Coturnix japonica: one gene and its partner. The protein of the gene in region 1 interacts with the protein of each later gene in a pairwise test. Links are inferred from orthologs where the notes say so. Each region holds a gene or a part of one and is shown in the gene's direction. Other genes may lie near its edges. The genes, in order: KIFBP and DOK2.

The links.
Region 2: the proteins of KIFBP (region 1) and DOK2 interact in a two-hybrid assay, tested with the Homo sapiens proteins (2 studies listed by BioGRID and IntAct). The two-hybrid records come from large-scale screens. The link is inferred for Coturnix japonica from reciprocal best matches to the Homo sapiens genes KIFBP and DOK2.

Annotation. Positions count from the first base shown.
Region 1 is NC_029521.1:8,810,010-8,813,744, forward strand, and holds part of KIFBP (KIF-binding protein), read left to right. Parts: intron 1-1,382; coding exon 1,383-1,465; intron 1,466-1,567; coding exon 1,568-1,751; intron 1,752-2,380; coding exon 2,381-2,465; intron 2,466-3,735. UniProt on the Homo sapiens protein: Activator of KIF1B plus-end-directed microtubule motor activity. Required for organization of axonal microtubules, and axonal outgrowth and maintenance during peripheral and central nervous system development.
Region 2 is NC_029537.1:2,729,131-2,732,374, forward strand, and holds the end of DOK2 (docking protein 2), read left to right. Parts: intron 1-189; exon of another isoform or gene 190-202; coding exon 203-302; intron 303-514; coding exon 515-693; intron 694-1,375; coding exon 1,376-2,101; 3' UTR 2,102-2,614; downstream 2,615-3,244. UniProt on the Homo sapiens protein: DOK proteins are enzymatically inert adaptor or scaffolding proteins. They provide a docking platform for the assembly of multimolecular signaling complexes. DOK2 may modulate the cellular proliferation induced by IL-4, as well as IL-2 and IL-3.

The DNA of each region.
Region 1 (3,735 bases):
AGGAAAACAAACTGTAACATCTGCGTGGTTTTCTCTGACTGAACGGCAATGTCATGCTGCACAGAGGCAAGTAGTTCAGCTTGTTTCCAAGAGGACAGTCTTCTGAACAGCTAAACCCCTTTTGCATGTTAAATGGTGTTCTGAGTTGTGGATTCTGCTGTGTATCGACAAAGGCTCCCTTGTGCTATTGTTACAGTCTTTGCAAAGCCTTTCTAACACCAGCTTGCTTTGGGGACAGGGCAGTTGTTGAGGGAGCTGAAAATATTAGTGACCTTAAAGGAGCAGCATTCTGTGTTTCAGGTTAAACAAGGTAGTTTCATGAAATTATGGTTTTATGGGAATACAGCTTACAGCACAGGTTACTCTCCTGGAAATTTCAGCACAGGTTATTCCTTATTGGTTACTCCCTGCCATTGCGCTGCCTTTGTAGCTGTGCTAGTCTATGGTTAAAGAATAGGTAGTGGATATAAGGAATTAAGACATGTTCATGGAAAAGATCTTCTGTTTTCTGCCTTCTGGATCAGTTGGTCTAACTAGAGATGCCACATCTCTCCACAGATCCTCAGCGTAATTAATTCCTGATGTTCATCTTTGATATTTATACCCAGCTAAGCACGATATTGATAGCTTTCTTTTGTTAATGTGTACAACTGTATCTTTCTGTTCTTGTGTGAAGAAAATAGACAGTCTTGTACATATCACAAGATATATCAATGTAAGGATTCTGACAGAACATCTGGTTTAAATAACAAAAAAACACTTGATCTACCTGACCCTCGTGCAAGTTGAATTAAGATTTAACAGCTTCATCCTCTGAAGATGTTGCCTGCTGTTTCACCAGCTTGTGAATAAAGGGAGTTGAAGTCGCATCAAGGCAGCACAAACAGTCTTTATAGCTGAGCACTCCTGACATCATGTTGCGTGCACTACTTCTTGCAGAGTGTTTTCACGTTACAGATTAGTGTTGCCAGGCAAGTGAACATTTCATGCTTGCAGATGTGCTTAGCAGTAAATTGATGCTTTGAAAAGCATCATGTAGAGCCATTTTGGTGCTGTATAATCTAAAGACTCCCAATTATAGTCCTGTGGAATACAAGAGTGAGTATTTCTGAGGCAGGTAGCATGTGTTATTTTAAACTACACAAACAAGTTTTTACAAGCCAAACCCTTGTATTTCCATGTGAAATCATGGGCTGCTTTTCCTAAATTTCTTGAGGTATATAGAATTGCATCAGAAGTGTGACAGTCAGATAGAAGTAGATGCATTATGTGAAGTTCTGTTCAGTTTAGGAAAGGAAAGTGGGTAAATAGTCTGCAGCCAGAAGAGGGAGTCACAAAGTAAGAGAGATGCACCTTCTTGAACATACTCTGTACTCATGCAGGATGGAAATCCTCCCTTGGATCCCAGTGAACATTTCATGGCAGAAGGAGAAGAAAAGCTCACAGACCAAGAAAGATCAAAAAGGTGGGTGAGTAACAGCAACCTAGATTTTTATTTTTATTTAGGGGGGTGTTTTTTTTTAGGGTCTAAAGAATTAAAAGAAGTCTGAAGAGCTTGTTTTTCCAGATTTGAAAAAGCCTATACACATACACTGTATTATCTGGCCCAAGTCTACCAGCACCTGGAGATGACTGAGAAGGCTGCTCAGTATTGTCATACTACTCTTAAGCGACAGCTTGAGTACTGCGGCTACTACCCGGTAGAATGGGCGCTCAACGCTGCTACCTTGTCACAGTACTATCTTTCCAAGGTAATTTACCTCATGCTTTTCTGCTTTAATTGTGTAAGAAGTGGTTTGCTTCCACACATCTTTATTGGCTCTAAATAATCCACTGAGCCAGGAAGTGCTCCAGGTCTTTTTTAGGGGTTATGTCCCAAACTACTCAGATACCTTCCTATACTTAAGTCTTCTACCATACCTCAGCCTGTTAATGCTGATTTCAACAGCAATTCATGATTTCTGTGTTTCTTGCTGCGTTGACAACCGTAATCATTAAACAAGGCAAATATGAGTAAAGAGATCTAAATCTGACTTGTAATGTTGACTTGTTTGTCCAGCTGATTCTGTTTAACACCCTGTGATACTATGACAAGGCAAAAGGAAGTGATGGTAACATAGATCAGAGCAGTGTGAGAACGTTCACAATTGTTCTTGTGGCTGTGGTAGCACAAAAATACTTAGCTAAAATACTGTATTCAGTCGTAGGTGTGGAAAAAACATATTTTATTCCATTGCCCTGGGGAGCAAGCTGCTGAGCCTCTCAGTTCTATATTTGCCTTGTGCCCCTGTCTCTTACAGCATGAGGTGAGGGGGTTTAGCGGAGAGCAGTCTTTCTGTTCCTTCCATTGGTGACAAACTGTTGTTTCCATCTGTCTCAGCAATGCTTTATGGAGTCCCGACACTGCTTAGCAGCAGCCAGCGTCATCTTCAGCCAGGCTGGACAGGTGCCATCTTCTGAAGACAGTAAGTTCATGTAGAAGTGTTCAATGATAAAGAAGGTGAATTGTGCACTGTTAGTACCTGTATTAAAATGAAGTCTCTTTGTATGTACTAAACTTATCCAAGTGATAATTTTCAGCAGTCTTCTTCTGCTTACAATAAACTGGTTTGTATTTATATGTAAAATACAGCTTACCTTGACTTCTGAATTGTCAGAAGACAGTAATTCAATGATTCAAAACAAATGCTTCCTAAAAATGGTTTTTAAAGGTGGAAAGAAAAAAATGACTATAGCTTTAAGGATCTGTAGTTATGTGATAGCATCAGCATTCAAATCCTCTGCTGTAGGCTTATGCTTTCCTTATCTACAGCATAGCTCTTTACATTCCATGTCTTGGGCAAATGGAAGTTTAAAAGGGACAGAGCTTAACTCACAGAGAGTAAGCAAGCACGCAGGGCAGCCCTAGTCTGAGTTCTTAACTCTGGCTTATAACAGTGTGTATTGTTCAGCTTCTAATGATTTGAGCTGTTCAGGATACAAGCACTTTAATCCAATGATGTTATTACACATGAAATTGAATTTTGAATAGGTTCAGCCAAGTTTTATTTAACCCACTGTCACTGAACTTCAGTTAGTTTCATTGCTTTCAGAATTTCCCTTAGCTCAAAAACACAGAAAACTCTGCAGTTGCCTTTGAGGGTGGTGTCCAAAAGACTTTTAGTTTCAGGGAACAGGGCTGTCAGAACTGAGCTATGCTTATTTGTAGGCTGTTTTCAGACAACGTATTTTATGAAACATTCAGAAGATCTGAGTGAGGGTTTGCAGACTTCTGTAGCTACGTGCCTGCACAGTTGTTTGATTTAATATGGTTCACAAGCCAAAAATGGAGGTTATGTGTTGGGTAATGAGCAGAGCACGGGAGCACACTTACAGTTATGCTGTAGAATTCAGGCGTGAGACTGAAAGTGACAAAGCGTCCTGGTTATACTTCATAAATTTCTTGTGTGACTTCTGGGCAAGTCAACCAACGTTTATCTCAGCTTCCTCCTCCACTAAACAGTGATATTTGTGTCTGTGTGGTGGAGTGAATGTTCCTCTGATATTCACTTTTCCCAGAACAGAGAAGCGGGGCTGTGAAGCTGAAGGTCACTGTGCAGGGAGCACTAGCTCACAGACGGGCTAATACACAGTCAACATTGGCCACTCTGATGCACTTTCCTTCTGTCTTGTTAATCAGTATGTAAACATGTGCACAAATGCTTAGTGAAGGTGCCTTTTTTAAATTAGCAATAA
Region 2 (3,244 bases), on another chromosome or scaffold:
CAAATGGGGTATGGATGGATGGGATAAGTAAGGTATGGGGGATGGATCCATGCAGGGTATGGATGGGATAACTGGGCTGTGGGGTGGGCAGGATCAAACTGGGATACAGATGGATGGGTTAACCGGGTTGTGAGGTCTGCTGGGTCCCTTTGGGGTATAGATGGGTGGGAGCCGTGGCTCAGCCCTTACCCTTTCCTTGCAGAGGAGCCAGGAGGAGCAGGCAGTGGGGAAGGACAGACAGCTGAGCTCCGACGGCGACTTCTCCGTGGCTGAAAACTCCCTGTACAGCTCCAGGGGCAAAGGCGAGTGTCTGTGTGTGGGGAGGGGGCCGTGTGTGGGGGTGAGCAGCATCCTGCAGGCAGCACAACATCCAGAAATGGCCTTTGGGTGCTTTTCCTGCTCTGTGGTTTGGCTGGGCTGGGTTTCACTGCAGGTTTTGCCTTTATCAGCCAGACACCGCTTCCCTTATGGGGCTCCCTATAAAACCTCCCTTTCCTCCTCATTCCACCCCCAGGAGTGGAGCAAGACTTTGAGGTGACGTTGAGGGCCACCGAGTCCTCGGAGCGCTGCCGCCTGCGGGGCCGCTTTGTGTTGAGGGCAGGAGAGGAAGCCTTGGAGCTGCGGGGTGTGCAGAGCAGGGATGTCCTTTACAGCTGGCCCTACCGCTTCCTCAGGCGCTTCGGGAGGGACAAGGTAAAGGGGGCGCTCAAAGGGTGGGATTATGGTGGGCGGGGGGTGGTGGGAATCATAGCATCATAAAGTCATTGGGGTTGGAGAAGACCTCCAGGGTTGTCAAGTCTGTCATCCCATCCCCACTGTGCTCATAGAGTTGTTGAGGTTGGAAAAGACCTCTATGGTCATCAAGTCAACTGTTGGTATCCCCGTAGTATCTATAGGGTCACTAAGGTTGGAAATGACCACTAAGGTCACCAAGTCAACTGTTGACCCATCCCCATGGTGCCTATAGAGTCACTAAGGTTGGAAATGACCGCTATGGTCATCAAGTCAACTGCTGACCCATCCCCACAGTCCCCATAGAGTCATCAAGGTTGGAAAAGCCCTTTAGGATCATCATATCCAACTGTTGATCCACAGAATGACTGAGGTCGGAAAAGACCACCGAGATCTCAGAGTTCAACCAACCCATCCCCAACCCATCCCCAACCCCAACCCATCCCCAACCCATCCCCAACCCCCAAACCATCCCCAACCATCCCAACCCCAATCCAACCCCATCCCATCCCCAACCCCATCCCCAACCCCATCCCATCCCCAACCCCATCCCCAACCCCATCCCCATGGTGCCCACTCACCACATCCCCCAATCTCCACCTCTCCCTTCTCCTTGAGGGACATTGCTGTTCCCCTCCTCCAGGTGACCTTCTCCTTCGAGGCCGGCCGGCGTTGTGCCTCAGGTGAAGGGAACTTTGAGTTCGAGACCAGACAAGGCAACGAGATCTTCCAGGTGATCGAATCAGCCATCGCCATGCAGCGGGAACGGGGCGGCAATGGGGACGAAGGCACAAGGCCACACCAACAAACCCAGCTCCCCGAGCGGGTTCAGGAGGAACACCACGCTAAGAGCATCTACAGCCAACCCTGCAGCCCCCTGACCCACAGCACCACATTGGCCGGGCCCAAAGCCCCAGAGAAGGGCACGAGGGGGGATGCTGTGGGTGAAATGGAGTACGCCGTCCCCTTTGATACCATCGCCAAGTCGCTGATGGTCGGTAAATTCGGGAGCATCCTCCATGGTCCTGCTGATGCTCCAGACCCATTGTATGACAGCATCCAAGAGGCAGGTGGGCATCCTCCGTTGCCTCGTCCCCGCGTTAAACCGGAGCACATCTATGATGAGCCTGAGGGTGTGAGCATCCACACTGTCTACGATGAGCCCCAGGAGGTGAAGGGCGAAGCGTGGAGGCTGCAGGCAGCCCCTGAGGAGCCTTTGGGGCACCAATATCCCTATAACCCACAGCGGGACGACTACGCCGTGCCCAAGAGAAACGTCCCATCAATGCAACAGGGCAAGGAGTGGCTCGGGGACACCGAGTACGACAACGTGGTGTTCCAATTAGCCAAGAAGAGGAACAAGCAATGAGAGACCATGGCCAGCTGTGCACATCTGGACAGCTGCGGCCGCTGGAGGGCACTGCACACCCACACTATGGGGTCGGCACTGCCAGGCTCAGGAACAGGGCACGGTGCAACCCAGAACTTGGCAAAGCATCGTCCCAAAGGGACCCATAGCAAAAAGGTGGAGGACCCAGGGGTGCACATCCCTCAATGTAAGAGCTGGGTGGTGGTGAACATCCCCAACCCATCTCCATCCCATGCACAATGCACAGCGTAAGGACCAAGGCATGCAAGCCGTAGTGGCAGCAACGCACAGCTCTGAGGTTGCACATTGCACGCTACAAGGGCCAGCTTGCAAGCAGTGCAGGGATGCACATTGCACCCCATACAGGTCGCTCTGTTGCTCCCTGCCATGTCCCTGCAATGAGGATCGTTCCCCATCACCCCTACAGCTCTTCCACCCAAAGCAAAGCAAAAGCCATGAATTATTTATGCTCGCTCTCACTCAATCAAATAAATGGTGAGGTGCTTGAGTTAATTTCCTGAAGCCTGAAAATCCAAAGTGCAGACTTTTAATAAGGCAAATTAAGTGCTTTCTATATTACACTGATTAAAGCTGTGTATCAATCCATCTATCACATGTTGAATGGAAGGGGCTGAGAACAGGGATGCTCCGGTATAGAAAACCCTATAAGCTTAAAAAGAAATAAGGAAACGATTTTCAACGTGTGACCAAATTAATTAGAGCTCATTATGGCTGTTATTTATTATTAATGGCTGTTAACACAGTCCTCTCCCAATCCCATTGCGTTGCCTGCGGCCTCTTGGTTAAGAGGAGGAGTGGTAACACCTTTGGACTCCGATATCCTATGAGTGTGATGGGATTTGGGCTGGGTTAATGAGGGAGCTGCTCATCACTTTGCATAGGGGTTGGTTGGATTCCCACCTCTCTGGTTTACTCCTTCCTTATTTTGGGTGGAAAATGAGATGTGAGCTGGGATGGAAAGCCCAGAAAAGGGGGATGTAAAGGCTGGAAATGCCCAGAAAAAGGCTGGAAAAGCCCTTTGCAATGCTCAGCATGGGAGTGTGTGGAGCATGAGATGAGGAAACACAAATCGATGGCAGAGAGAGGAGGGAAGAGATTAGAGCACAAAGCCTCAGACAAATG